5 linked regions of the Nothobranchius furzeri genome follow. The protein of the gene in region 2 interacts with the protein of the main gene of each other region in a pairwise test. Links are inferred from orthologs where the notes say so. Each region holds a gene or a part of one and is shown on either strand. Other genes may lie near its edges. The genes, in order: get4, eef1g, ilf2, klhl18 and ech1.

What was found.
Region 1: the proteins of eef1g (region 2) and get4 interact in a two-hybrid assay, tested with the Homo sapiens proteins (2 studies listed by BioGRID and IntAct, with this or other methods). The link is inferred for Nothobranchius furzeri from reciprocal best matches to the Homo sapiens genes EEF1G and GET4.
Region 3: the proteins of eef1g (region 2) and ilf2 interact in a two-hybrid assay, tested with the Homo sapiens proteins (2 studies listed by BioGRID and IntAct). The two-hybrid records come from large-scale screens. The link is inferred for Nothobranchius furzeri from reciprocal best matches to the Homo sapiens genes EEF1G and ILF2.
Region 4: the proteins of eef1g (region 2) and klhl18 interact in binary tests that used the Homo sapiens proteins (3 or more experiments, as listed by UniProt). The two-hybrid records come from large-scale screens. The link is inferred for Nothobranchius furzeri from reciprocal best matches to the Homo sapiens genes EEF1G and KLHL18.
Region 5: the proteins of eef1g (region 2) and ech1 interact in a two-hybrid assay, tested with the Homo sapiens proteins (2 studies listed by BioGRID and IntAct). The link is inferred for Nothobranchius furzeri from reciprocal best matches to the Homo sapiens genes EEF1G and ECH1.

What each region holds. Positions count from the first base shown.
Region 1 is NC_091756.1:28,101,488-28,107,567, reverse strand, and holds the start of get4 (Golgi to ER traffic protein 4 homolog), read right to left. Parts: upstream 3,552-6,080; 5' UTR 3,520-3,551; coding exon 3,302-3,519; intron 3,290-3,301; exon of another isoform or gene 3,066-3,289; coding exon of another isoform or gene 3,040-3,065; intron 2,475-3,039; coding exon 2,396-2,474; intron 2,151-2,395; coding exon 2,069-2,150; intron 1-2,068. UniProt on the Homo sapiens protein: As part of a cytosolic protein quality control complex, the BAG6/BAT3 complex, maintains misfolded and hydrophobic patches-containing proteins in a soluble state and participates in their proper delivery to the endoplasmic reticulum or alternatively can promote their sorting to the proteasome where they undergo degradation.
Region 2 is NC_091741.1:90,858,511-90,864,407, reverse strand, and holds the start of eef1g (elongation factor 1-gamma), read left to right. Parts: upstream 1-2,246; 5' UTR 2,247-2,335; coding exon 2,336-2,347; intron 2,348-3,109; coding exon 3,110-3,268; intron 3,269-3,462; coding exon 3,463-3,526; intron 3,527-3,846; coding exon 3,847-3,989; intron 3,990-4,816; coding exon 4,817-4,960; intron 4,961-5,045; coding exon 5,046-5,175; intron 5,176-5,406; coding exon 5,407-5,611; intron 5,612-5,897. Other genes in the region: polr2g (DNA-directed RNA polymerase II subunit RPB7), read left to right, coding at 1,652-1,685, 1,879-1,892. UniProt on the Homo sapiens protein: Probably plays a role in anchoring the complex to other cellular components.
Region 3 is NC_091751.1:23,257,564-23,263,597, reverse strand, and holds the start of ilf2 (interleukin enhancer-binding factor 2 homolog), read left to right. Parts: upstream 1-2,498; 5' UTR 2,499-2,651; coding exon 2,652-2,656; intron 2,657-2,969; coding exon 2,970-3,029; intron 3,030-3,656; coding exon 3,657-3,699; intron 3,700-3,826; coding exon 3,827-3,931; intron 3,932-4,019; coding exon 4,020-4,097; intron 4,098-4,337; coding exon 4,338-4,440; intron 4,441-4,833; coding exon 4,834-4,899; intron 4,900-5,134; coding exon 5,135-5,251; intron 5,252-5,740; coding exon 5,741-5,819; intron 5,820-5,894; coding exon 5,895-5,982; intron 5,983-6,034. UniProt on the Homo sapiens protein: Chromatin-interacting protein that forms a stable heterodimer with interleukin enhancer-binding factor 3/ILF3 and plays a role in several biological processes including transcription, innate immunity or cell growth.
Region 4 is NC_091751.1:33,736,815-33,742,802, forward strand, and holds the start of klhl18 (kelch-like protein 18), read left to right. Parts: upstream 1-2,567; 5' UTR 2,568-2,935; coding exon 2,936-3,064; intron 3,065-4,661; coding exon 4,662-4,792; intron 4,793-5,988. Other genes in the region: poly(U)-binding-splicing factor PUF60a, read left to right, coding at 224-414, 898-1,009, 1,087-1,322, 1,432-1,731. UniProt on the Homo sapiens protein: Substrate-specific adapter of a BCR (BTB-CUL3-RBX1) E3 ubiquitin-protein ligase complex required for mitotic progression and cytokinesis.
Region 5 is NC_091753.1:47,223,669-47,229,590, forward strand, and holds the start of ech1 (delta(3,5)-Delta(2,4)-dienoyl-CoA isomerase, mitochondrial), read right to left. Parts: upstream 3,796-5,922; 5' UTR 3,563-3,795; coding exon 3,526-3,562; intron 2,772-3,525; coding exon 2,603-2,771; intron 1,112-2,602; coding exon 1,023-1,111; intron 947-1,022; coding exon 822-946; intron 745-821; coding exon 696-744; intron 410-695; coding exon 345-409; intron 195-344; coding exon 124-194; intron 32-123; coding exon 1-31. UniProt on the Homo sapiens protein: Isomerization of 3-trans,5-cis-dienoyl-CoA to 2-trans,4-trans-dienoyl-CoA.

The sequences.
Region 1 (6,080 bases), on a different chromosome or scaffold from region 2:
TGTGGGAAATGAGTAATAATGGCTCTTTGATGGGAAAAGGTTGCCGACCCCTGAACTACAGCGTCATCAACAATGGTGGGAGGAGAGAGAGGTACGCTTTCTAGCTGGAAATATAGTCACTATTTTGAGTTTGTATCAGCTAAAGAAGAAAATATTAAGGTTCGTTGTACACTCTGTGCTGGCTCTGTGTGTTTTATTTTTTATGAATACTATTTATTTTAAGTGAGGTCAAGAAAAACTGTTTTTATTTTATTTTATACAAACAAGCATTACGTCAGGCAATAGGTTTTAAGTTCAACTTAAAATGTAAGAAGATACGTTGTTGACATTACTGTTAAAAAACATTTGCAATAAAGTGAGTGTTGGCAAAACCTGTTGTAGTTTTTATGTTGAGGCAGTGGAGAGTGTTTTTGATAGATGCTGAAAGTAACTAATAAAGTAACTCGTAATCTAACTTAAGGCGCTATTAAAAACCTTTGATCTTCCCCTGAACCGGCAGTGCGCCTTTTATACATGTATTAAGGTAACTCTGGCCCAGCACGGTACCCCCCAGCGCCGTCCTCATCACCCTCACCTAATAAAAGGTGTGGCACTGCTCCACACAGCTATACCGGTAACCAGCCATGGCACCAGCGAAGAGACACACTTACGAGGCAGAGTTCAAGCTCAAAGCCATCGCTCACGCCGTTGAGCATGGAAACAGAGCAGCAGCGAGAGAATACAAGATTAACGAGTCGATGGTCTGCAAGTGGAGAAAGTTGGAAGACCAGCTGCTGCAGGTCAGTCAGTCAGTCAGTCATGCCGTTACCAGAGTTTAAATCTTCATTCTTGCTGCTAAAAGCACCCGTGCATTAAACTGGGCCATTTATGTTACTTTAATAATGAGAAATTTATTTTTTAGTATAGATAATGAGTGGAGTAACGTTTGACTTTGATCTAATTGCCCAATTTGCCTTAATTGTGCCGACCGGGACGCTTGTTTGCTTTGCTGGGTGCGTGTTTTGATCCAGTGAGCCTAATGTGCGGACCAAACCTTTAACTAGGACGCTGATTGGCTGTGCGCCGTATAATCAGGTGAGCCTTATGGTGCGGAAAATACGGCAGTTACTTTTTAAATGAATGAATCAGTAAAGTAACTACGTTACTTTTGGAAGGAGTAATCAGTAGTCAGAAATCAGATTACTATTTCAAGGTAACTATGGAAACACTGCTGACAGAGGCGTCAGGCTGATGAGCACAGGTACCACCGGTCTCTCTGAATCCCACCAGCAGGCAAGGTGAGTTAAGTGTCTAGCCCAAGGACACAACAGCAGAATTCTCTGTCCAGAGCCAGGATCGAACCTGCAACTGTCTGATTACCAGACAAGTCGCTCTACCTCCTGAGCTGCTGCTGCCATATGAGGCTGTTCCTCTCCACTTGCAGGATTAAAGCCATAAAAAACACACTATTGCACTTCTGGAACAATGCAGGGAGTAAACAAACCATTAGGTAACTTCTTTTGATGTAATCTACATAGATATGAAATCGCATTGCTGCAGTAGTCTTATTTTGAGAATTACCAGGGGTTTTACATTGAAACCGTGTGCGACTTCCTGTCTAGCCCTATGCTAACTGTGTAAATTGTTGTGTCCCAGATGCGGCTTGCTGCAAAAATAGAACCCATCCTATCTTTAGTGGCATGGCCAGCTGCTTCTGGGACGCGCTTGAAAATTTCCGCATAGTGGCTGGTTTGAAACCCCCCCATAGATTTTAATGTCTTCTCATTTGAAGCAGCGACAGTCCGTGCCACTGATGCTTCCAGTGTGAAGTATGGGTGAGTTTTCAGAGGAGGCAGGTGTATGTTAATTGGATCACATAACGATACAAGACCAAGCTTGTCTTGGCAAAACAATTTAACCTTTTTGTTGTTGGTTTCATTATTTTAGTGATTTCTTAAATCGAAGTTCAAATAAAAATGTGATAAATTGTACAGCTCTATTGTCACATAATGAAAAGAAAGCAGATCAAAATCAACACAAAAGACTCAGTAAGAGTTATTTTTAGACACAATGAAAGCTCGAAACCCACCTAACATTTCATCCTCAACTTTAGTATCAGACTTCTCCAAAACCTCCAACACCAGCATGGAAAGATCTGCTGCGCTGTTTTGCTGTAAAGTAAACCACAATGAACTCATGTTTGGGGCAGCATTATTGTCACAGAACGTACTGTAATCGGTAAACTTAACCCAAGCCACAAGTCAGGCTGTACAGTTAAAGTTATGGTTAATTCAGCAGGCAAAGATCAAAACTGTAAACCTGACAGCTGTTGTGTACATGCTAATTTCTAATGAAATGCAATTTTAAACATGAAATCTGCGGATGTTCTAGTCAAAAACGTGGGTGTGGTCTGTACCTGGTTGTAGCTGAAGAACAGCAAAGCACCGTTGTACATCAGCTCCCTCGCCTCTGCATGTTTTCCTTGTGACATATACCTGATGGAAGGCAAAGGGGAACGGAGTCGTGCACTTAAAGACAATCTCCTAAATCTCCCTAAGGCCAAATGACCATATACATCTGATAAAGTAAACGATAGGATTGTGACAATCAAGAAACGGACGGAATTAACTGAAAGAACATACATTTGAGGGAAATTGGCTTTAAACTGGGAGCTTTCTCGACAGCTTAGTACGTTTTTCAAGAGGGAGTAAGCAGTTAAGTCAGACCACAAAACTAGTATTCTACCATAGTAGGGTGGGATATGACATAGTTTATGGAATATGATATAGAAGTGAAATGCATCAAATCAGTCTGGTATAGCTCAAAATAAAACAAACTGTTTAGAAACACGTCGTTATTTCGTATTTTACTGCGAGGAGATAGCAGAAGGCTGCTTCCCACCTAGCGAAATGCTAACGCAAATGAACATGAATGTACTCGTTCACATAACTGCATTGTAAACCAACGAAAACAGTTGGTCGCTATTTTCAGTTTGTTTTCAGTATACATTTCATGATTAATACAGCCAAAAATAAGTTATCGTTGTCACATTTTACTCACTCTGCTAACAAAAAATTTGCTATCATCAGCTCGGTACTAGCGGTATCATTACGGTAAGCCAATAGCAATTGTTCTTCTAAAGATAGAAAGGATCACTGTCCAATCAAACACAAGAACCATCAAGGGAAGGCGGGACACAGAGCGAATACAACCAATCACGTACAAGCACCAGTCAAAGGTTTGACAGCGGAATGATCTGGAACAGGCCGGCCTGACCGTAACTACAAAAGCACATTAGAACGAACATATTGTGAAGTCTCACCTGAAAAATAAAGTTCTATACATTTGGTGGGCTTCATAGTAATCTCCCTTTTCTACGCTTGCTCGAAGCTTCCCTTCGACCCTCTGAACGCCTCCTCGGTTTCTAGCACTGGAGCACCTCAGGGACTCGGGCTCCGCCATAGCGATGCCTTTAGCAGCAGCAGCGACTAGCGAGAAGGTCCTGGCTGCGGCTCGTAGCAAGGGGCGGGGACGGGGCATACGGAGCAACTATAACATCGATGACTCTGACGACTTAGCCTTGTTCTTGTAGAGAGGCACTAAACTGAGAGGCACTATATTAAAAAAAATGTTTGTTCTTCGTATTACTTTTTTTTTAAATTGGACTGACTCTTCACAAAACAGCACACCTGGATGAACTGGGTCAATCATCACTGCGCCGCCTACAGGTTGTGCAGAACAGCGCAGCCAGGTTACTGACTGGGACCAGGAAACGGGACCACATCAATCCGGTTTTGCCCTTCCTGCACTGGCTTCCGGTCTGTTATCGTTCACACTTTAAACTCCTCGTCTTTGTTTACAATTTCTTCCAGGGTAGTGCTCCCCCCTATCTGGCCACGCTCCTGAACAGACATTCCCCATCACGCACACTGCGCTCCTCTGACCAAGGCCTGCTCGCTGTCCCTCGTTCTAGGTGTCGTACTCGTGGGGACCGGGCTTTCTCAGTCATAGCCCCGTCACTCTGGAGCCAGTTGCCACCCTCAGTCAGGCTATCCCCATCTCTGCCAGCCTTTAAGAGTCGCCTAAAAACCCACCTCCTCCGCTTCGCGTTCCCTGAATATGTTTGAGTTAGGCCTTCATTTATGTTAATTTTAATTCCCTGCTTTCATTGGTCTCTTTATCTCTTGTTTTACCCATTTGTTTTCTACTTTAATGTTTTTACCTGTTTTTCTCATGTACCGTGTTCAGCACCTTGGGCTTCGCGACAGGGTCACGAAAGGCGCTTTATAAATAAAGCTTGGATTTGGTTTGATTGATACGAGATACGTTGCTTGATTTCCTCTCGGAAGAGGTTTCTTTTGTCCGAATGCAGCAGAAAGGCATCTTGGTGCATGTAGGTAGAGGAGGTATCCAGAACTAGGAGAAGGATTAGAAGACTGCTTTCCTGGTTGACACCAAGGTCAATGATCTCATTATCACCGGATTCAGCATCAAACTCAGATCATACGCCGTGAACGGGGAAGAGTCCCATGACCTGGATGTCAGCTCCATAAAGCAACAGATGGCTGATTTTTTTTACAGACCAAGGGAACTGAGTTGGACTTTGGGAATATTGAGAGTTGCCACACTCTGTCCAGAAGAAACAGCAGAGAAAAAACAGCTGTCATCATGAAGGTTTGACATAATTAACCATGATTAAACCAGCATGACATCAGGGGGAAATCACTTGACTGGTTTAAAAGTGAAGCATCCATCCATCCATTTTCAGCTGCTTATCCGGAGTCGGGTCGCGGGGGCAACAGCCTAAGCCGAGACGCCCAGACTTCCCTCTCCCCAGCTACTTGGACCAGCTCTTCCGGGGGAATCCCAAGACGTTCCCTGGTTAGCCGAGAAACGAGGGCCCAATCTCAATACTCACACTGCGCCCTGCGGTCTTCAGCAAAGTGCACTTGGAGAAAGTGCTCAGTAGGGTTCGAGTGCGTAGTACACAAGTGTGCAAATAATTGCCGAAATGAGACAGGGAGCATTGCGTCATCGATTGCGACGCATGCCTTGTGCCGGTAGCTGTGAAACTTTTTTCAAAAACCTTTATTAACAACTTTCAAACAAATAACAAAGCAATTATTTGAAATAAATTTAACTTCATTGTTGCTTAAGTTCTAAAGTCCTAAAACGAACTAATTTTATTAGAAAATACATGTTTTCAGAAAAGGAACTTGAGCCTTTTCTCCCGCAGCAATGACTTGTGGGTAATACCCTTGCCCGAGGTCCGCATCGCTGCAAACTTGGATGAAGTGCAGATTAAGGGTGCAATGGGGGCGTGGTCAACTTCCGCACTTGAGAATCGAGACACCCTTCGCACTCGCACCCCTGGCCAGGAACGAGCAAATAAAGGGTGCCAGTGCGAGTATTGGGATTGGGCCATGGTCTCTTCAGTGTGTCCTGGGTCTTCCCTTGGGTCTCCTCCCAGTTGGAGGTGCCCGGGAAACCTCATCAGGAAGGCGTCCAAGAGGCATCTTAACCAGATGCCCTAGCCACCTCAACTGGCTCCTTTCAACACGGAGGAGCAGCGGGTCTACTCCGAGCCCCTCCCAGATGACTGTGCTTCTCACCCTATCTCCAAGGCAGAGCCAAGTCAGCCTGCGGAGAAAACTCATTTCGGCCGCTTGATTTCGCAATCTCATTCTTTCGGTCGGACGGTGGAAGGAATACTTTGAGGAGCTCCTCAATCCCACCAATGCGCATTTCGAGGAGGAACCAGAGCTGGGAGGCCTGGGGATGGACTGTCCGATCTCGGGGGCAGAAGTTGCTGAGGTAGTCAAACAACTACACAGCGGCGGAGCCCCGGGGGCGGATGAGGTTCGTCCTGGGTATCTTAAGGCTATGGATGTTGTAGGGCTGTCATGGTTGACACGTCTCTACAACATTGCGTGGTCATCGGGGGCAGTTCCTAGGGAGTGGCAGACCGGGGTGGTGGTCCCCATCTTTAAGAAGGGTGACCTGAGGGTGTGTTCCAACTATAGGGGGATCACACTCCTCAGCCTCCCTGGAAAGGTCTACTCCAGGGTACTGGAGAGGAGGGTCCGATCGATAGTTGAATC
Region 2 (5,897 bases):
TATTAAATCTTTTCACAATAGGGAGCCTAAGTAAAACCGGGTGGAACACAGAGGTCTCCGAGAGCTCCACAAGCCGGCAGCCGCACAGCAGACAAGCGCTGCTGTGATCTGAGATGCGCAGAGCTGCCGCTGGGGAGAACCGGGTGGAAAGGTTTCCATCCCAGAGCTCCACAAGCCAGCAGCCCGCGCAGCACACAGAAGCCACGATCAGACAGAGATGCGCTGGGCTGCGGGGAGGGGAGAACCGGGTGGAAAACGTCGGTCTCCCGAGAGCTCCACAAGCCGATAGTCGGAACCCAGCTCCGCCCACATGTTATATTTCAACTCATTTTCTAAAGTGCAGCATTATGTTAAATTCACTGGGTTTTACCCTATTACATTTAAATTTCATGGTTAAACAGTACATGTTAAAATCTAAGCTCAGCTCGGCAGTGACCTAAAATACATAAATATAATTTTACCTACCGATAAAAATGAAGCGGAGACTCCTTGGACGCTCTATTAGTGCAATTAATGCCACAGCAAGTCATTTTGTCCAACAATTGCACAAATAATATCCAAAAAAGAATACACAAACACAGAGACTCAAAATCCCGGAGCAGTTTCCAAGCCAGGCCGAGGCTCTACTGAGGCCTTTCCACGGAGCTAGCTCTGTGGTCACGTGGGTCTGATGCTCATTAATTATACAGAATTTTAGGCTTTTAATACACTTAAACAGAAGAGTGAGAAAAAATCACCCCCTCAGAGTTGTCATGAGTATAAACTAGATCATTTAAACAAAAAACATGTTTTGGTACCAGGCTGTAAACATGTTTATTTCTGCTGTGATAGTGGTATTTTTAACATGGGAGTTGATGAGGATTTGCTCGCTTCTGACACCAGCCCCCAGCGGATGAGGGTGGAACTGCAATTTTTGGTACCTCCGGGTTGAGACCAATTTCTGAGCCGCATTGTGGGGGCTTGTGTCCCACAGCAGCGGAGCACCAGACTCGGGGGGGGGGGGGGGGGGGGGGTGCGCTCGCGGAGTTGTCTCTATTCCGCTGAATGTGCGTGCGGGAAGTGGGGGCATGTCTGCCCAAGATGGGCAAGTGGCCCACCAGGACAGTGCCAGATAGGCCAGTCCACCCCTGCTAATGTCTCCATGATTTAGCTTCTGTCCACCCAGTTTTTTCCCCTTTGTTTCTGTCTGTTTCTACAACAACCTTTTCTCTGTACTATTTTGTTGGCCACAAAGTTACAATCCCTGTTTATAAGTTTGGTTACCTAAATTAAATGCGACAATTCACTGATAACTGTTTCCCAAGAAAGGTTTTGAGGAGGCACTGAGAGCTATGAATACGAAAACAAAATGTTGAGCGCTCTGATGCACCATTGTTCCTTTTTGTGGCCACATTTGACATTTCCCTTCTGGAAAAAGCCTAAAAAAAGCTTTTGGACATCATACCTGAAGTTTCAGCGTATCTGAAACAAAAACAAGTATAAATGTTATTGTGTGTAAGTAGCCTAGCCTGCCAGACTCGTCCTCTGTTTAATTCTGCACAGAGAGGAGTCTGGCAGGCCAGGCTAGTGTGTAAGATGTTGGGCAATGCAAAATTTGAAATGTATGTTAGTTTTAGAAGAAAGCCTAAAAAATTGTCTCTTTGTTTTTCAGTTTGCAATTGGATCTCTCATGGACGACTATCTGGGTGAGTGTTAATCTAGACCACATTTCATGGTTCTGCTTGCTGGTTTCCTCATTAGACCTGCATAAAAACATTCTTCTCAATAAAAATATGTGGTTCGTTTATAGTGCATGGAAAGATGTATTTTACTCAGTGCACACTTTTACTTTTCTGTGAATCACTGGTTAATAAACCCACCTTTTTGTTTAATTTTCAGGTCTTGTGAGCTGATTTGCCTCTGGAGCACATCAGTCTTCTTTTACAATATTTTTCTACACTTCATAGCTACTTTTTCCAGTTTTTTTTAACTGGTGTAAAAAACCTAAAAATAAACGTGTTTATGGTAATCAGTATATAGATCATCTCATGAGTGATAGTTTATTTTATGGAGAAGATGTACTTGCATATGTCCATTTATATTGTTTTTATATCTAAACTGTAATAAAGTTTGTCATTTGAATATGTTTGTGTCTTTGAGGTTTGATCCACCAGAGCAGAGCAACAGCAGCCCGCTACAGCAGACTAACGAAAGGCTAAATAATGTTTGGAAACGTGGCAAAATCTGGCGGCTTTAAACAAACTGTGAACGTGGATATTTCAGGGACGCGCACGTTTAACGACCGTAAATACGTCAGTGGCGCGCGCCCTCGTTCTTTCTTTCTCTCTTCCTGAAGATGGCGGCAGGGGTGAGTAAGATGGAGAAATTGCCAGTCATGGAGCTTTTATTCAGATTTGCTGCTACAATCCGACTGAAATCAGAGCCATCTGCACACTGACGGCGTCAGTTCCTAACTGAACTGCAGCATCCAGCTGTCTGCAGGCTGTTTTAGGGCCTATTTACTAAAATATGATGGACCGTTGAGCCTGAGTTAGCTTTTGCTATTCTTAATTCATTGAGATTGCTAACAGGGTTGTGCCACGTTATCGTTCACTCTTAAGAGATTTCCGAGTCATTCTTTTACAGTTTCAGTTTTCCCACCGATGCTAACGCAAATGTAGGCCCAAGTTCGGTCTGTTTTTATTTCAGAATGCTCTAGAACAGTTTATTACCCGAGTCGGTAGCTAGTCTGCGTGTAAATCAAGCTGAAAGCCACAAGAACAAAACCCCATTCTTCATAAGTGTGGGTAAAACCATTTATCACCAGTGAATTAAACCAGACAAATGGTGCAAACTCCTCCTTACGAAATGCTCACTCTCAGCGGAAGACTTGATTAATTAACCAGAAACATTCCTAACCAGATCCTAGTTGCTATTGTTGTCCCAGAGTGACACGTATGGTAAAGATCCCAGCTGATCCATATCTGCTCTATGCATCAGTGCAAGGCAGCTTTTTAAATTTTGGATGCTGTTAAGTTCATTTCTGTTGTTAGTTAGAAACAGCATTTTTTAACTAAACCTATCCCCCTTCGAAGAATCCATGTAGTTAATATATGTCCTCTCCTTTCAGACTTTATACACATATCCAGAGAACTGGCGGGCCTTCAAGGCCCAGATTGCAGCCCAATACAGTGGTGCTCGCCTCAAAGTAGCCAGCAGCCCTCCTGCCTTCACCTTCGGGCAGACAAACCGCACCCCAGCCTTCCTCAACAACTTCCCTTTAGGCAAGGTGAGTAAAAACTTGTTTCCCTCGTTGTATAAAAACTGGCCAACAACTCTCAGTTGTTGCTCCTTGTATACGTACGAAATGGTTTCTTTAAAATGGATTTTTCTTGGCGACATTGTTTAATTCACACGTTTGTCCAGGTTTTAGCTTCTGTGCCTTCAAACTATTCTAAACCTAAGTTCTGTCCTTGTTTACAGGTGCCAGCCTACCAGGGGGATGACGGGTTCTGTCTGTTTGAGAGTAATGCCATTGCTCACTACCGTAAGTCTTACTTTAAATTAAAAGGTTACCGTTGTATAAGTCCTTTTCACACATGAACTCTAGACATTTGGGTGAATGTGCAAATCATTTGGGATCACTTTTTAAAAGTTCTACAAAATTAATTAGGAAGTGTTCCTTGAGACTTTGGTGTTTGGATTTTTTGCTGATCCTCTTAGTGTGTCTTGAAATAAGATGGAAAGGCCAATTTCAAACATTTTTCTTTTATTCCTACAAGCTGATACCTTTTTCAGAGGGTGTAGAACCTTTAAAGAAGAGTGTACATGTGAGTAACTGGCAAATATTTTGCTCTGTAATTCCAGTGAGCAATGAGGCCCTGCGTGGTGCCACGCCTCAGGCAGCTGCTCAGGTTCTGCAGTGGGTGAGCTTTGCTGACTCTGAGATCATCCCTCCAGCCAGCGCATGGGTCTTCCCCACTCTGGGAATCATGCAGTTCAACAAGCAGGTATGCAGATCTGCAGTTCTATAATTAAACTGTGATTTAGCGTAAAGCTGGGCGGACAATGTGCGACTTTTTCACTCGTAGCACTCGGCTTCAGCTCGAACTGTACGACTTCCTCGCAGGGCAGATCTCACGAGCCATGTGCTCACACTGTACGTCTGGTAGCAACACGTCGGACCTAAAAATATGCTAAAAATAGCAGTTTTTACACGTCAGACTTTTTTGTCTTGTTTTGCCTGTTGTCCTTCGGGAGTGCTGCAGGAGGACACACAGGGATTTATGGGGGTTGGATGAGGAAAACGAAATAAATTTAATCTGTGTTTTGTGATCGGTTTAATTTGACATGAACACGACAAACACGCTTTCTTGACAATCCTTGTCATTATATGTAAAAAAAAAAAAAACATGTTGAAATAAAAACTAACATGTGTTATTAGGGAAATGGCGGGCGAGCGATGTTGATGCATGATTGCTCATGCGCCTTGAGCGGTTCTGGTACTTTTTGGGTCACAGCCGCTCGCTGCGCCGCTTCAACCCTCACGTGGAACGAGCAAAATATCAAACACTCCAGGAGTCCATGCAAGCTCATGATTGCTGATCGGTAGCTGGTCACGTGGTGTTGATCGCCTCTCGTAACCCCCTTTACACTACACGACGACCAGCGCAACACTCGCCCCGATCTTGTGGATTCTCGCACGAGTGGAAAATCTGCTCAAAAAAGTGAAAAAGTCGCAGTGTACGCCCGGCTTAAGCTGCAGGCTGGAGTTTATCATATTTGACTCCAGTGGTTTGTTTTTGCCTAAAGTTAACTGTCTCTTTGGTCCATACAGGCAACTGAGCAGGCCAAGGAGGACATCAAGAAGGTCCTCGGGTTGCTGAACCAACATCTGAACACCCGCACGTTCCTTGTAGGGGAGCGCGTCAGCCTAGCAGACATAACTGTGGCCTGCTCCATGGTCTGGCTCTACAAACAGGTTTGATGTTCACAAAGCACCCAATCACACACTCCTGATCTCTAATATTTAATTCGGGAAGAGCTGAAACCTCTCTGCTCTGTAGGTCTTGGAACCTTCCTTCCGTCAGCCATATCCCAACGTGACCCGCTGGTTTGTCACCTGTGTAAACCAGCCCCAGTTCAAGGCAGTTCTCGGAGAAGTCAAGCTGTGTGAGAAGATGGCTCAGTTTGATGGTGAGTCCTCAACAGTGAGTTCAGAATAAACTCGTAATCAAAGGATGTCAGAAGGACCTGCACTGCGAGTTGAAACTTAACGCAGATATCAGTTTGGTCTTACAGATCTGTAGTATGACTTAAGATGTTCTTATTTGTCCAGTCAAAATAAATCACTAATAGTCTACCGTCCTTGTTCATAGATGGTTGTAAATAACTGATTTAAGAGTAGATAACTGTTCTTCTGACTAGCTAAGAAGTTTGCTGAGATGCAGCCAAAGAAAGAGGCCCCCGCCAAGAAGGAAAAGGCAGCGAAGGAGGCAGCCAAACCCCAGGAGAAGAAAGAAAAGAAAAAGGAGGAGAAGAAGCCTGATCCTGAGGAGGAGATGGATGACTGTGATGCTGTTTTGGCTGCAGAGCCCAAAGCAAAGGATCCCTTTGCACATCTGCCAAAGAGGTAAAGATTTGTAGTGAGCAGCGCCATCAGAAGTTCTAGTTTTACATATGGGTGGTGTATTACAGAAATGTGCTTAGTTTAATTGGATGCATATATTAATCTGAAAATGTCTATGGAATCTAGTGCATTTTGGGTATTTGATGTGTTATTGAGTCTTTGATTCATAGACTGACAGTTTTAAAACAAAGTAGTTAATTTCAGGTGATGAATGTCCCCTGTCTTTGGGCAAGGCGGTGTCCATTCATGACACAAAGTCTTAATCTGACAGGGGAAGAGAATGAGGGCC
Region 3 (6,034 bases), on a different chromosome or scaffold from region 2:
TATACATTGATAAGAAGGAGCTTTTGTTCACAACACTCTACTATTACCATGAGCCAATGTCCCTCTTCATCTCTTTTATGATCAATTACGTTGCCAGCAAAATTATTAAATAAAATCATCACTCCTGCCGAGTCAGCAGTACAATGTGAAAAAAGAAAACCATCTCCCCATTGATGTTTCCAGAAAGTTTCATCATCACTACTAGAATGTGTCTCTTGCAAAAACAAAATGTTTGCCTTAATTTCTTTGCAAAATAAAGAAATGGCCTTGCGTTTCACTTTGTTTTTTAAGCCTCGAACATTTAAAGAGCTTATTTGAACAGACAATTAAAGGTAAAAAAAAAAGATCAAGAAGACACAACGCAAGAACAAATTAAACTTTTCCCTTCTACTCTTATTCTCTAGAAAAATGAACTGTTTCTAGCAGGAGTAAGCATGAAGTCCTACTTATCTTGTAAATACAGTATTCAGATTGTCATTGTGACCCCCCCCCCTTTTTTTTTATTAGGAACCAGAACTTTTTATCTACCTCCAGATTTACCTATGCCATTCCACTTTTATTATTTCTGCATGCATATTATGGGTCAATTCTTTTGCCATCTGTTATAGCAAACCCGTCTTTCAGGAATGCTCTTCTGCCGTTGTTTTGAGCCTCCAGCTCCTTGGGCCACAGCTTGATCCGAGCTTCCTTATCCTCTTTGGAGAAGTCCTCTTTAACGTTTATGTGCAGTTCTTTGCAAACCCTGGCCTCCCTGGATTTCCTCCACACTTCATCCCTTGCTGCCCTCATGCTAAACTGAACGATGATCGGTCTTGGCAGCTTGTTGTTTGCAGCGTCGCCCTTCTTCCCGATTCGATGTACTGTATCCACCATGAGCTGCAGCTTTTCCACTGACACAGGAATCACTCTCGTCAGGATGCCAATCACTCTATCCCGTGTATTTTCACCCTCTTTTTCTGCCAGGCCAAGTAGTCTGAGGTCCCATCTTCTTCGGTATCTTGAGTTTTCCAGACATCTTTCCTTCAGTTCTTTGTTTTCCTTCGTTAAAGCCTCCATCCTTGTTTTGAGCTTGTCTGTTTCCTTTTTGTTTTCTTCAGTTGCCATTTGCCTCTATCCTAAGGTCAAAAGCTTTCAGATTTTTGTCTAGCAGATCAAATCTTTCTGGAAAGGCCAGCAGGGCTTCATAGATGTTTTCATTGCATATCTGTTTGCCAGTAGCTTTATTTTTCAGGTTTTTTTTTTTGATTGGGGCTTTTTATTGGAGTGTGATCACCAGTGGGTCTTGCTGCTATCTGTTGATGCTCCATCTCCTCAATGTCTTCGTCCGCACATGCTTCCTTCATTGCCGCAAGGTTGTAGTCATGGTCGGAAAGACTACCTATTAGCGCCGCCATGTTAGTCATTTGATTTTTTGTGTTTGCTACTTTATCTGTCCAATAACTCTTCAAAAACATGTTCCACAGGTACCGATTTCCTTTCAATTTCGTTCTGAATAACTGTTTATCAGAGAATTACTTCTCAGAACATTTAAAACCCACCGTTTTATCAGACCTGCCAAGTTTCCAGCACCTGCTCACTCTGCCATCTTGAATTCCCCCTCATGCACCACTAAACAACAGTGCTAGAGGAGAGCAGCTGTCCGAAGTAAGATGGCTGCCGCGTACGGACGTCAGGGTCCATTGACGAACAGCGCAGGTGAGAATCAGTGCATCTTTTGTATGACAGAATGTGAAACTATTGAGCACCTTTTTCTTCTCGTGTTCAGTAACACTTGGTTTTGAGGAGGATGTTTATCGATTGGTAAATATTGAGAGAAATGATGTAATCTAAAGTACTGATATACATGGATGCTCTTCCAAAAAAGATATCCAAAATGGTGAACATTACCAAATACATAAGACTAAATGGAAAAACAGCAAGCCTAACATTAATCATTTTAAAAATTAAATAAAACAATTTACAACATCTCAAAGAGTATTTTCAGAAAATAACCAATCTATAACTGAGTTGTGCGAAACAATGTCTGAGTTTCTTGTTCTTTAAATTACAGTCCAATGAATCAAACATGTTTGAACTATAATGCTGAAATATCAACCTCTGAACGTTTTTTGTTTGTTGTTGATGTTATTTTATTTTTTGTTTTAATTATTATTATTTTGCATCATAATTTATTTTATGGTAGTGCCATGCGGTAAATGTTGCAAGTTCTAAATGTCATTTTTATTTTCCTCAAGTGCGGTCATTTGTATTTGTTATATTCTTCAGTACGTTGAATGTAGGTTACATTGTAAACTGAATGTATGTGAAAACGAAGATTGAAATAAAGTTAAAAAAGAGACTTGACCAGAAAGACGTGAATGAATAAAGTTACGCTATGGCAGCAGCAAAAAAATATACCAATAAATAAAAAAAACAGCGCATCTAGCTATAATATGTGATATCTATGCGGTCCACACTCCATTCCAGTTGGGGGCGGTAATGTACCACGGCGTTGGTGACGTAAAACAGAAAGAAAGAAACAATTCCGCCGGAAACAGAAGTCTCTTTGTGCCACACTAGTCCCTTCCGCAGTTAGCCTCCGCTCATTCATTAAACCATATCAAACCGTTCTCCCTGTTTTCTCTCATCAAACCATCAAAACGTCGTACGCAATGAGGTAACGCTGACTAACCGGACCTGGTTGTGTTGGCTTTACGCTAACTAGCCTGTAATCAGTGTCATTAGCTGTTAGCCATTAGCTCGGTATAGCTTTCTGTTAAAGTCTCGTTCTGAACGTGGTGTTACTTATTTATTCCTCCAATAACAGTGTTACTGATAACTCTTACGTTTTATCGACAGCAAGTTAACACTGAGGTAGCGAATTAGGACTATAACACACGTGTGTTAGCTAAGATCAGCGTTTTTATTTATCCTTTAGTCTGGCAGTAGCGAGCGCACTGGACTGATCTGGGTTTTGTGTTTGTGAACAGAGGAGACCGCGGCAGGGGCCGAGGACTCCGCTTCGGAGCCCGGGGAGGCATGGTCCAGGGGTGAGTACCTTACTGATCTCTGTTCCTGTTCCATACTGGTTCTTTCAGTCAGGTCCTTGATCTGGTTGTAGAAAGTATCTGACAGTTAGTCTTAAGTTTGCTGGTTCGATTCCTGCTTCTGGATGGAACTCGGACCCATAAGCCATCAGAGTAGAAAAGTCTAAGTGAGAAAGATCTTCAGAAGTGGAAAAAGAAGCCTCTTGTGATTACACAGGACGACGGCACTCTCCCCAGAACATCTCCAGAAGGACTTCTTCAGAGCAGTTAGATCTTTCCATCCTGTCTGAAAGCAGCGTCCTGTTTCTGTCTCTTTAAACTTCATTTTTTCCCAAATGAAACAATCCATTGATTTCTGGATCCTTAAAAAGCTGCTGTAAAGTCTGGAATCATCAGCTCATGTTGTGCGTGGTCCTGGTGATGAAGCTAAGACGGATTGTTGGTTATTGTGCTGAAGCAAAAAGAACCGCTGCCTTGGTTATAACTGAAACCTCCAAATCATTGTTAAAATCTACTTTTTGGGTTTGAACATCAGCTTTCATAAGGTCCCGGTCAGACGTTCTGGTTCTGACTAGTAGGGACATTTGTGCCAGTCCACCGATTCTCCGTTCTTCTCTCTGTCCCGCTCAGGTACCGTCCTTTTGTCCCGCACATCCCATTTGACTTCTATGTGGTGAGTTCACGCATGTGACAGACAACAGAACAGCATGCAGGAATAATCAGTAACCATGGCTACAACTAGCATCTGGTAGAATCCGGTCCATTTTGTGGTTCTGAAGCAGACTGTTGTCCTTCCCCAGTGTGAGATGGCCTTCCCCAGAGTGAAACCTGCTCCTGATGAGACGGCGTTTAGCGAGTGTCTGCTGAAGAGGAACCAGGACCTGAGCCCCTCACCTGCAGAACAGGTCAGCTAGGTATTCCAGTTCAACACCTCACTGGTCTCATCGTGCTGTAGGTTACTTACCTGACGTCTTCATTTCCTTCTGCTTCTAGTCTTCCATCTTGTCTTTGGTCACAAAGATCAATAATGTCATCGACAACCTGATTGTTGCCCCTGGTAGCTTTGAAGTGGTGAGTGGTGAACATCTGACCTGTAGAGCTGCCATGTTTACTGAAACTGGTGTAAATGAGTTGGTGTCAGTAAGGCTGTAATGATCTGTGTTTGCTGTCACGTCCTAATCTGGGATTAAATGTTTCTCTTCCGTCATGACCTTCCTAGACCTCCCACAGGCTGAGCTTTATGTAGCTGAGCGGTTTTATCTTTTAGAACGCATCAAAGCCATCCCGCATGCTTACGTTATCTGTCCACAGCAAATAGAAGAAGTTCGTCAGGTGGGTTCATACAAGAAGGGAACCATGACAACTGGACACAACGTCGCTGACCTCGTTGTCATCCTCAAGATCCTCCCTACACGTGAGTCATTGTTCATTCAGACCAGCCCTGGGTCCGTCACTAGGGCCTCATCCTGCTGGAACAGCTTCAACAGATGTTCTGGTGAAACCACTGAGCACATCTGGACTCGTGTTGGTAAATACATGGCTAGTCCCATCATGCAGCCCGACCGGACCGGCTATCCAGCAGCTAAGCTGTTTAGCTTTAGCCTCTTTAAGCTTAACAGTGATGACGAAACTCGTCAGACCGTACAGGAACTCGAGAACAGAAGTGTCTGAATCCTAAATGTGTTTATGAGGCAACTTGGTGTCATTTAAACCCCGAATACCGTCGGTAGAGTGGTGATTAATACTGAGTCCAGTGTTAAACACCTGGAGCTAAAGCTGACTCTGCTCTTCATGTTTAATCTAACAGTGGAGGCAGTGGCTGCGCTCGGGAACAAGGTGGTGGAGACTCTTCGCACCCAGGACCCCGCAGAAGGTACGGGGGTGGGTCTGTGTGTGTGTGTGGGGGGGTGTATCTGCAGCTCTGGACCTTACCTAAAGGCTGAAGTTGGTCAGAGTGCCCTCAAGAAACAGAGTGAGCATCTTTAGTGAGTTAATGATGTAATAAACACTAATGGTGTGTGTGTGTGTGTGTGTGTGTGTGTGTGTGTGTGTGTGTGTGTGTGTGTGTGTGTGTGTGTGTGTGTGTGTGTGTGCACCCGCGCTTTCAGTTCTCTCCATGCTGACCAATGAGACGGGCTTTGAGATCAGCTCAGCTGATGCAACCGTTAAGATCCTCATCACCACTGTCCCGCCCAACCTACGCAAGCTGGATCCAGAGCTGCACCGTATGATACACACACACACACCCACACATGCATACACACACACACACACATGCACACACACAGACACTCGTTTTTTAAGGACTTCTCCGTTTTAAACGGTTCTTTCCACTGAACCTTTGATCTCTAATCTGTACAAGTGGTGTGAGTGTGTAAGACGGTGTTTGGGTAGCCTCTGGACCGTGTGTGTGTGGGATGACAGAATCGTTGTTGGCCATATTTCTCAGATTGTTTGGCTGCAGCAATATTATTGTAATGATGTGACTAGTAAAGTTTTAAACAGGTCATTTCAGGTCACCGTCGTTAGGCTGTGAGAGGAGTTAACGAGCTGTGGTGGACCAGAACCGATGCTAAAACGCAGCGTAGCTATTAGCTAATGCCTCATGCACCAGAAACCTGGGTGGATGAGACGGCAGCGTCTTCAGCACCGTGATGATGTCAGTGTTTCTAATGAAACCTGCATCCATGAACACTGACTCTCTGTTCCTCCAGTGGACATCAAGGTTCTGCAGAGCGCCCTCGCCGCCATCCGCCATGCCCGCTGGTTTGAAGAGAACGCCTCTCAGTCGACGTGAGCTAGTCTTCATTAGTGTGCGTCACGGATATGACCTTTCACCTGAACTCATTTCATCTTTCTGACTTTCAGAGTAAAAGTCCTGATTCGCCTTCTGAAGGACCTCAGGTTGCGCTTCCCGGGGTTTGAACCTCTGACTCCGTGGATCTTGGACCTGCTGGTGAGTCCAGGTTTCACCTGTGGCCAGAAGATCCACGGATTTGTTTATGATC
Region 4 (5,988 bases), on a different chromosome or scaffold from region 2:
TTCAGCAGGAAGCTGTGTGTCGGGTTGTGTCAGACTATCCAAAAGCAACACTGCTTAAGGAGGACACCACAGACATCATGTTGGGAACAGAACCGGGCCTCACAAGGTGGGCCGACCCAACCAGGACTGGACCGGACTGGGCCAGATGTGAAAATGCCACAGGGGGGCGTCTCCTGGGCTTTCACCTCACCTAATGGCAGATTTGTCATCCTGGTCTCTCCAGAGTACGATAAACCTCAGTCAGCTCAAGACGCCGTGGCTTCCATGAACCTGTTTGATCTTGGGGGTCAGTACCTGCGGGTGGGGAAAGCTGTGACACCACCTGTCCCCCTCCTCACACCAATGACCCCAGGAGGACTTCCTGCCGCCGCGGCTGTGGCAGCTGCTGCTGCTAGTGCAAAGATCACTACTCAGGTATGTAGTAAATCTCCAGCTGTAGGTCCCGTCGGTGCGAGTTCTGGAACACGATCAGTGAGAGCCGCTTCACTAATTTCTCGTTATGCTCAAAACGTACAAGATGCAAGTTAAAACAACGATTGTAATTAAACAGCATCACTAAAACGTTTGAAATGAGTATGAATGTTTTTATGAAGCAAAGAGCAAGTAGCTAAGAGGTCCGAGCGAACAAGAATGGGGTTCACCCGACGGCCTGCTTCGGCTGTGTCCATGTTGTCATTTACATCTTTCAACGGAGAACCAAAAATGCTCTTTTGGGTCAATTTCGACCGAAAATCTTTGTTCCATCGATGCTAAATAAAAGTGATATTTACAAACATACCGCTGCAGTAACATCTATGGTACTTCTGTAGTACCAGCAGCAGTAACGTCTATAGTACCACTTTAGTACTACCGCTGAAGCGTTTCTGGCTGTAACTTCCTGTTTGGTGGTGTGTTCAGGAGGCAGTTGGAGCATCTGTACTTGGAGCTCTTGCAGGACCAGCACTCCTCTCTCAGCAGCTTGGACTTCCTCAGGCCGTCATGGCCGCCCAGGCCCCAGGTGTCATAACAGGTATACATAGCTTTTTAGCTCTGCCCCTATCTTGTTGCCTCCACCTACCTAATCCACTGCTCTTTTTTTGATTTCAGGTGTTACCCCCATTCGTCCAAGTCTACCCCATGTGGGGCTGGTGAACCCAGTTCTGGCAACTCCCCCATATGCAAAGACATCAGTCAGTTCTGAGCAGAAAAAGACAGAGGAGGAGCGTGAGGAGGAGGTGCAGCAAGATGAAGCCATGGAGCCCCTGAGTGAGCAGGAGCATGTGAGCATTAGTGGCAACAGCGCCCGACACATGGTGATGAGGAAACTGCTGCGGAAGCAGGAGGTGGGCGGCGCCTGGACCAGAATCAGCCTCCTGCTGTTTAGTCTAATTTTGCTGTTAAACGTCAGCTGCATCATTGGTCCCTGACCTTTGAACCTGTTGTCCTTTCCAGTCCATTGTCATGGTTCTGAGGAACATGGTCGGGCCAGAAGATATCGACGATGACTTGGAGGGGGAGGTGATGGAGGAGTGTGGAAAGTTTGGGCAGGTGAAGCGAGTCATCATCTACCAGGAGCGCCAGGGTGAGGAGGAGGATGCTGAAATCGTGGTGAAGATCTTTGTTGAATTCTCTGAGGTGGCAGAGATGAACCGAGCCATCCAGGCACTCAACAACCGCTGGTTCGGAGGACGCAAGGTGGTGGCGGAGGTCTACGATCAGGAGCGCTTCGACAGCAGTGACCTGTCAGCGTAGAGCCACCATGAACTTTCACCTTAACGTAGTGGCCTCTTTCTTACTGGGTTGGTTTTTATTGGTCTTGTTTCCATGGAAACACCTTCTTCAGGTTGTCTTTCACGTTTTACCATCACTTCTGCCCTGCTCATCATTCTTCTCACAGCACTGGCCCCTGACACCTCCTGAACCGTCACATGACTTTCTGCTGAACTCACCAGGTCCACCCAGAAGCTGGGTCCAAACAGAACATGGTGGTTTCATGTCACAGCTGATCCAGATGGGACGTCCTCCTGGAGCCCAGGACCAGGTCTGGAGCTAATTCAGGTCTGACTTGTGTAAAATGGTGAGCAGGATGCAGAAGGTTTGAGCGGGTCCACCCTAACCACAGGAACGTTCCTAACCACTCGGCAGTCAAGCAGGATTTCTTTCTGGCAGCAAATTCAAAGCAGAACCCAAACCAGAACTAGAAATAAGTGGATCATCAGGACAGGTGCATTCTGGTGCGGCTTGGCTGTTTCAGGTGAAATGTAAATAAAGATTTTTCAGCTGTTTTTACTCATGGGATGCTGCTGCAGATTGTTTTGAAACATTTTCTAATAAAATGACCCAAGGACCCGCTGATCCGACCCAAGACCATTTGTTGGTTGTGGAGTTCTGATGTCCCAATAGGGTTTGGGTTATTTGATTCAGAACGCTCCTGATCCGGGGACAGCTACAGAGTTCCAGCAGACTGGTTCCCTCAACCGTTTAGATCCATACGCAGTGTTCCTCTGATTCTCAGTGGTCCTGTTTCCATGGAAACTTTCTTCATGTTTGAGAGTTAACTCGTCATTCCAGCAATTGATTGACACGTTTCTGAGCTAATGGGAAGTTCGTGATTTCCTGGGAAACCTTCAGTTCCAGCTTCAGTTTCTGACCTGATCCAAGTCAGACTTCAGGTTCTGGTCTGATTGGGTTTTCCCAGTTCACCAACCCAGAACAGAACCAGTCCAAACCCCGGCCAAAGCTGGTCTGGTAAAGTCATCTGTTTCAAGAATAAATGTTTTAAATGGCTTTAAATTGCAGTTCCAAATCAGGTTCTGTAAAACATTTAAATCCGCTTGGATCAGAACGTTAGACACTTCCGGTCGGACGTTCATATCAGTTTGAAATCAACTTTATTTTGGAGATCACTACAGAAGCGGAAGTTGTTTTATTGTGAAGGGTTGAGTTCCTGCCCACGATGGGAGACGGATTTTGCGAAGAGCTCGAAGATTTGGTTCATTTCTCCGTGCACGACCTGCCCGCGCGAGGTTATGTCGTCATGGAGGAGATCCGACGTCAGGGAAAGCTTTGTGACGTCACGATTAAGGTAAACACTGACGGCGTGGACTCGGTCCGCGACCCAACAGCTTGCTAACAAGTTGCTAACAGGCTAACATCGGTGGTATGACGTTAAATGCGTGACCTGTGACCGGCCGGAAGACGCTCATATGCGAATGTTTTAGACCGATATTAATACTTAGGGGTTATGAAGGTGAAAGGTCAATTTGTGGTCGGCAGCACGCTCAGACAACACCTACTGTTATGATCAATTATCTGCAGCACAGGTGGACTGAAACCGGAAGTGTTAATTTGACCCAACTCGTTAAACGATAAGTGACTTTCAGTCGCAGCGCCTTGAGTCAGCGGACTCTAAAGCGCTTTGCCAGTGAAGGTTCTGGTGGTCCAGCTGGAGAAGAACCCACAAGTCCTCAGGAGGCTCAGTATTGTTTATGGACCCACCAGAACCTCCTAGCAGGGGTTTTCTAAAATAAACAACAGAATCCTGATTTCTTTTGTCTGAATTATTATATTTATATGTCGATGATTATCACTAACATTTCAGACCCTTATCAGTTTTAAACGCTGAACTTAACCAGCTTGTAAAATGGTAAATGGCCTGTATTTGATATAGCACCTTCTAGAGTCCTGGAACCCCCCAAGGCACTTTACAACACAATCAGTCATTAACCCATTCACACACTGGTGGGGATGAGCTACAATGTAGCCACAGCTGCCCTGGGGCGCACTGACAGAGGCGAGGCTGCCGAGCACTGGTGCCACCGGTTCCTCCGACCACCACCAGCAGGCAACTGGGTTAAGTGTTTTGCCCAAGGACACAGCGACAGACTGAGCGGGGCTCGAACCTGCAACCCTCCGATTACGGGGCGAGCACTTAACTCCTGTTCCACCGTCGCCCATGTATGCCAATGGTGCAGTACACATGTGTAATCATTAGTGTGGCAGTCTATCAGTGCCTCTCTCGGTCCGCCAGGCCACGCCTCTTTCAGAAGCGTTTTCCGAACAGGAAGTGTGGATGAAATACGTCTCCACCCATGCCTGGACAAAATATGAAAGTAACCAACTATCAAAGCTGCTACTACAAATTAAACATTTTCTCGTGTCTCTTAACCTTCAAACATAGCATAGCTGTTAATTAATTATGGAGATCAAAAAGTGTGGTTCTCTCGCATTTGTTTAAAAATCTCCACCAATAACGTATTTCACACCGAAACCAACCACTGGACCATCCGGATGTTGGCCTCACCGAACCGCCACCCTTCCCTGGGTCCTCCACTCATCACAAACTCACGTCTTTAGCACCAGAACACCACTGGTGTGAGAGGTTCTCCGCTTAAGCACCAGCCAGCGAGGAGTCCCACCGTCATATCAATCTCTCTCTCTCTCTCTCTCTCTCTCTCTCTCTCTCTCTCTCTCTCTCTCTCTCTCTCTCTCTCCATTTTGTTCCCTGTTCTCTCACTGATACTGCTGTGTGGTCCTCATACACTCAGTCCTCTGCTGCCAGAATGTATGAGGACCTCACACTCAAACACTGAGCAGCTGTCTGCCGCCACGCTGGAGCGGCTGCTATGATTCTGCCACCCAGCTCTGGCCTGGAGGTAACTGTGGGTGTCCTCTCTCTGCAGGTCGGCGATCATAAGTTCAGCGCTCACCGGATTGTCCTGGCTGCCTCCATCCCGTACTTCCATGCCATGTTCACCAATGACATGGTGGAGTGCAAACAGGATGAGATCCTGATGCAAGGCATGGATCCCAGGTAACCATACTAACACATTCCATTGGGGCGACGATCGCCCCGTAATCTGAAGGTTGCTGGTTCAAGCCTCGCTCAGTTGTCGCCATCATTGTGTTCTTGGGCAAGACACTTAACCCGCCTTGCCTGCTGGTGGTGGTCAGCAGGCAAGGCGGGTTGTCGCTCATCCACACCAGAATGTGAATGGGTGTATCAATGGGTGAATGACTGACCTTGTTGTGAAGTGCCTTGGGGGTTCCAGGACTCTAGAATGCACTGTATTAAATACAGACCATTTACCATGTCAAAGAGAGTAAAATGTTATTATCAAGAGAGAGAGAATGTTTAAGTGATTAGCAGCAGTGTGCTAGCCGATGGCCCCCTCCATGAGGCCACCACAGCTCAGCAAAACATCATTGTAGCTTCTTCTGGGGGGGGAAACACTTAGAGAAAAAATAAAGTTAACAGCTGAAATTGCAGGAAATAATACAGTTAAAGAGCAGATTGTAGAAGAAAGCAGTAGAGCGTGGAAAGTGGTCAGTGTATCCTCCAGCAGTCTAAGCCTATAGCAGCATAACTACAGAGATAACTCTGGATAACCTAGCCTTTTAGATGGAGGCATAATGGAGGCAGGGCAAGGGAGAGTCGTCTTTACCGACTGTACACTCCACCTCCCTCTACTCCCCCACTTGTCCAGATCTGGGCTGACATCAGATTTTAACCATAGGCCCTATCAAATAAAAATGTTTTAAGCCTAGTCTATTTTTAGACATACTGGGAACCACCAGTAGACCTGCAGTCTGAGAGCGAAGTGTTTAGTTAGGAACGTATGGAACAATCAGATCACTGATGTATGATGGAGCTTGATTATTGAGAGCTTTATATGTGAGAAGGAGGATCTTAAAATCTATTCTGAATTTAACAGGTAGCCAATGTAGGGAAGCTAAGACAGGAGAGATATGATCTCTCTTTTAATTCTCATCAGAACTCTAGCTGCAGCATTTTGGACAAGCTGAAGACTTTTAACTACATTCTGTGGACTTCCTGAGAGTAATGGATTACAGTAATCCAGTCTTGATGTAATAATGCATGAACTAGTTTTTCAGCATCACTCCTGGAAAGTATGCTTCTTACTGGGGCCGTGAGATCTGACAATATAAGATCGTTAAGGATTATAAAGTGATGAAAATCTACCAAAGCTTGGAGATCGTTGAACTGTC
Region 5 (5,922 bases), on a different chromosome or scaffold from region 2:
CCTGGCTGTAAGCGCCAACTCGTTCACCAGACTAAAAAAGCAAGAGATAATTACAATAAACATGGATTTCAACAGAAAATAACAAGAACCATAACCCCAGTTTGTTAAAATGTTAAGTTTCACCTTCGACTGCCTATGACTTTAGGAAGTCTCTGCAGAGTTCCAACGTCTGCTGCAAGTCCAATATCAACTTCCTGTCCAGTCAAAATACACAAACCCAGTGCTATGGAAACATCTCTACACATTTATATTAGTTTAAAAAATCATTAACTTTGGAAAGGAGTAATTCTTGCTGTCTTAATTTATTTTTTATTTCACCAAATGATAAAATCAGCTTAACACACCTTAACCTGAAACCAGGCATCCTGGGTGCAGAGACGAATGTCACAAGCCGTAATCAGGTCAACACCTGAAATAAAATAAACATTAATATTGAACTCATTGACTAATTTTCTTCTACTAAAATCAAATTCATGAAACTTACATTTCAATCATGCTAACTGTGCGTTTTCTATCTTAAAATTAGTGACTCAAAAAGAAACAAAACAGTGGTTCAGTGTTTAAATCTGTTTATGCAACAGGTGAATCCTATAGGAAGCACAAATCATGGCTTCAGCAAGTTCGTCTCAGTTTTAGTATTTTATCTAAAGATACTTCTTGGTGAACGTCACTTGAGAATTTCTTTTGTGCCCTACCTCCTCCAATACAGGCGCCGTGAACAGCCACCACAACAGGCTTTGGACACTACAAGCAGATAAGAATAACTTCATTAACATTCCTGCGTCATTATTTGTCCAATGCATGTGATGAGGAGCTCTGACCTTCTCTATGACGGAGAACGTTTCTTGATATTTGGTGATGGTTTTTCTGAGGTTCCAGGAGATTCTTGCCACGTCGTCGCCTTTCGGCTGGAGGATATCATTGGCCATGTCCATCAGGTCAAGACCTGGACATCAACAGAGCATACGGAATAAGCGCAGCTCCGCTGATGAAACTGGCATTAGTTGTGACCCGAAACACACCAGCTGTGAACATCCTTCCTGCTCCTGACATGACCACCACCCTGCAGTCTTGGTCGTCTGCAATCTCATTAAAACAGTCCACCATCTCACTAAAAAATAAAAACACAAACACTATGTCAGGGCTGCTTCAACTATGGATGCGTTTGCAGCTAAGTTTCCGTTAAACTGGATTATTATTAATGTAAGTGATTAAATTTTATTTGTGTGGCACTCCTCACAGACAAAATCACAAAGTCATTAAATCATAGTCATCATAATGATGTGTGATGTGATTTTAATAAAATTATCCAAATAAAAGATTAAATTTAGATGCTTAAACCAAATATTAATGACCTCAAAGCAGAAATCCAGAGCTTTACCCTTTTCAGGAATTCTGTATGATTTTTTTTTTAGTAATCCGTAAAAGGGATAGGCTTCCCCTGTTCTGTAATATAATGTAAATGGAAAATGGCCTGTATTTGACATAGCGCCTTCTAGAGTCCTGGGACCCCCCAAGGAGCTTTACAACACAGTCAATCACCCATTCACACACACATTCACACGCTGGTGGGGATGAGCTACAATGTAGCCACAGCTGCCCTGGGGCGCACTGACAGAGGCGAGGCTGCCGTGCACTGGCGCCACCGGTCCCTCTGACCACCACCAGCAGGCAAGGTGGGTTAAGTGTCTTGCCCAAGGACACGACAGCGACAAACTGAGCGGGGCTCGAACCTGCAACCTTCCGATTATGGGGCGAGCACTTAACTCCTGTGCCATCATCGCCCCTAATGACGATAGGCAATAGTCGAGGTTATTTATCACTTGTAAGTCGCTTTGGACAAAAGCGTCTGCTAGATACATAAACATTTTGTTTTTTGCTAAGCCCACCTGCCCTATAGGCTCCCATACAATTTGAAATGAACTAGCCAATAGCGTTCGACATCTGCTTACGTACAAATGTCAATCACAGAGTGCGTGAACACCTGACGAATCATAGAGCGCAGCTACAACTGCCTTTTGAGGGACTAAAAATACAGAACAGATTGCCTACTTCTACTCAGCGAGTGAATGTGTGTGTGTGTGTGTGTGGGTGAATGACCGGATGTGTTGTAAAGCACCTTGAGGGGTTATACGACCCTAGAAGGCGCTATATAAATCCAAACCATTTACTCGAAGATAGACAAAAGTAAAGAAAAGCCCATGGACTAAACGATCGAGTCGTTTCAACTGTATCATGGAAGCAGGGGGAGGGGCTTGAAGTTGCAATACAATTCTGCCTGTAGATGGTGCCCTCTGAGAAAAATGGATTTCTGATTTATGATAGCATTTTAACTACTCTGCACTGCCTCCTTACTGTATTGTATACAAGCTCTAAAGCTATTATTTCTATATGTAATATTTTAGAAATAAATCTATAATATGTGTGTCCTTATGCATATGTGTGTCTAGATAAAATACATCTTAAAAGTTTTAAGAAAATGTGTGTTTCCTCAAGAAAATTGGCATAAAAACTATTACATGACTTCACTTGAAGAAAAGGTACCCCAATGTCACGGAAAAAAACACACATTTTGTATATTTATTGCTATAAAAATGCTCACCTCCAGAAAGCTTTGTTCATGGCGTTTCTCTTCTCAGGTCGGTGAAGTTCGACATGTGTGAGGGACTCTACTGGGCGACTGATGGCCAGGGTCGTGTATGGAGATGTGGGTCCATCTGAAGATGACATGTTCCTGACCAAAGCCTGAGCAGGCAGCCACAACCTACTGTCTGAAAAGGAATTAAACACGCTTGTGTTTATCTACATTAGGTCACTGATGTATACTAGCTAACCTGCTTTAGGGTGGGCTGTAATGCAAAAAACAGGATCAGGTGACTTGTCACCAAATGCTGCAGAACTGTTGTGTAAAGGGCCTGATAGCATTAAGATGCTTATTATTATGAAAAAATATCCAAAGTTTAATTATATATAAATACATATAGTTTGCAATATTTTGCAGCACCTCACTTGGTCATACATGAATATTACAGCTATGATCAAAACGACTGTTTAATTTCCTTTTCCATCAAAGTAAATCTGAATAATAATAATAAAACACCAATTTCTGTTAATTCCATGTACATTTTTTTATTTAAAGCATTTTAAAGGAATTTCAATCACCTTACAGCTGTAACCCTGCAAAAAGAGACTTAATTGTGAAATAAAAGTCTATATTGTAGACATGCTGTGACATTTGTTAACGCAATGCAAATCAGTAAAAAGGTTAGATACTCAGTATATTTATGCTACAACCTCAGTTATAACAAAAGTATATAAAAATACGTTAGAATGCGTGTCGATTAAGCAGCTACCTTTCACCTACAAACCTCTCCAGGCTTTGTTCATCTCGGTCAATTTGAGGGTTAAATACAAAGTAGAGCTAGTACTAATGACTAACATCCAAACAAACGTGCACATCATGTGACAAAAGAAAACATCTGAACTAAAACAGAAACACAGAAAAAAGGTTAATCCGTTACTTACATCTGGGGAGAGTTGACCTGATACTGACTGACAACATCGCCCTTTGAACGCTGCAGTCGGGAAGCTTTGGTGAACGGTTAAACCAAAGCAAACTGGCAAAAGACTAACGACGTCTAGCTAACCCTAACTAGTAACCAACAAGTTGGCTGGCTTGCCAAAACTCTTCACTGCTTCATTGGTTAGCTTCCAAATGACAGAAAGACTGCTTGACCGCTTTAACCTAAATCTACATGAAATAAGAGGAATGTTTAAAGCAAAAACTGGCCATAAATGTTAACATTTCGCTCTCCTGATTAGCTTAGCCTCTCTAAATTGGTTCTACGGTAGCCGAGTTGGCGCAAACGCTCCAGAAACGCTCTCTTTCGTCACTGTGACGTATAGAAAAACTGGACGAATCCTATGCCATATATCCATTTTACTTATTATTATTAATAAAAGACAATGACAATAATAATAAAATGTACTCTGTTGTTATTAGTTTTACAGTAGCCTAGGTTTGTAATTACATATAATGTCCATTACAATAATGTGCTTAAAAACTGTACTATAAACAAAAAAAGTTAATCATTCTAAGGTTTTAATTTCCTCCTTTTTTTTTTTTTTTACCTCTTTTTACTTTCCAGTTTGAATTTATTTTTAGTCAAAGTGCATTATCTTCTGGGGCACAATCTGATATTTTCATTTGTTAATTTGACAGCAGTTTTTATTGTTTTTTTGTTTCACAACTTTTTAAAAGTGGCTGCTTGAGGGCTTCCAGTTATAAATGTCTGATCATTTCATATACAAACACTGAATGTGGACATTCTTGGTTTTTAAAAGAATGTACGCAAATGGGCAGAGATTTTTGCTTGGTGCCCACAACAGAGATCAGAAAAGTGCAAAGCCATGAACATATCTTCTGCTGAAAGTAATTAAGCGCAGATTGCAGAAACTAATAAATAGAAATTTACTCTTTAAATTAAGCTTTCAATAAATGAGTAACATTAAATTTAGTATAAATTAGGTGTGAAAACTCAACAGGAAATAAACTACATTAATTATAATGTGCTCAAATCTGTCCCAAACAAAGTCCAATAATATTTCGGATCAATTTTTTAAACATAAACAATATAATGGGTTGGCTCACATACAGTTTAATTTAAACTGAATTTAGTTCAATTTAATCTTTAAAATGAGCTTTTAATCTATAGTTTGATTTATTCAACAGACCAAACAATAGCTTTAAATTCAATATTCTTTGAGAGATTTGTGATTTTTTTAAAGATATTTCTAACATATAAATGTTAAATAAAAATGACTTTTTCATGTACAACATATTTCCATCATGAGGTCTCAGTAGCTGTTCCAGAGTGTTATTTTTTCTCATCTGTGGTTATTGACCTGTAAATGAGTATATTTTTATTTTAAAAATAAATTAGTAACATGAGATAAAACATTAAATGACAGAAAATCCTCAAAATGACTATCTAGTAAAAATCCACCTCCAATCCTTGGAATTTGTTTGGTTATTAACCAGATGTGGAACATGTTCCCTCAAAAACAAAAGTTAGAGTAATTAGATGAATAAAACACACTGGATATTAAGAATGATTTTATTCATTCAATATATAAAACATCACTAAAATAGAAAAGTTTTGATCACAACTGATCATAAATAAAAATTGACAAAATAATTAATACAAATATTTCCAAAAACAGAAAAACTAAAAACTTTTTGGGCATTTAAAGACACATTTTATGTAAGAGATTTTATTTGTTTGCCAAACCTGTTTGTGAACCAATGAAATCAAAGTTAAAGACTGAGGTAGACATGCAAAAGAACAAATACATTCATGTTCAAGAGGTAAAACACGGACTTTGTCTGGTTCTGTCTCTGGGGTTGATCCAACATCTCAGACATTTCAGATGGAGTCAGGGTAGGTGTTAAGGATTTGATCACAGTCAAAGTTTTCTAACTGATCTTTAGAGATGCCTCTCATTGATTTGGCTGCCCATTCAGGATGGGCAATGGGTTCTGACCAGTGTTTTCTGGAGGAAATAAGAGTCAAAGGAGGTACCACGGAGGAAGGGCTGCATCTTAAAACAGTAAAGATTACAAAGGCGGTTTCCTGGACTCTTGCATAGAAGCTGAATCAGCGAAGAGTTAAGAGCTTTTTAGTTGCTTTAAATGTATACATTAGAATTGAAATGTGTTTCTGTGTAAAAATGTCCATCTTATGCAAACCATTTCCTGTAAGTCCTTTGTTTGGAGAAATCGAGTTTAAGTCCAACAAGATTGATCAGCCACTGCCTGGTCTTAATGTAGAGCCAAGATCAAGATCTTGAACTGATCATTAAAGTACAAATTCGCTGAAAAATGTATAATACATGTTCGTAACAAGTTCTAGTTCAGAGCAA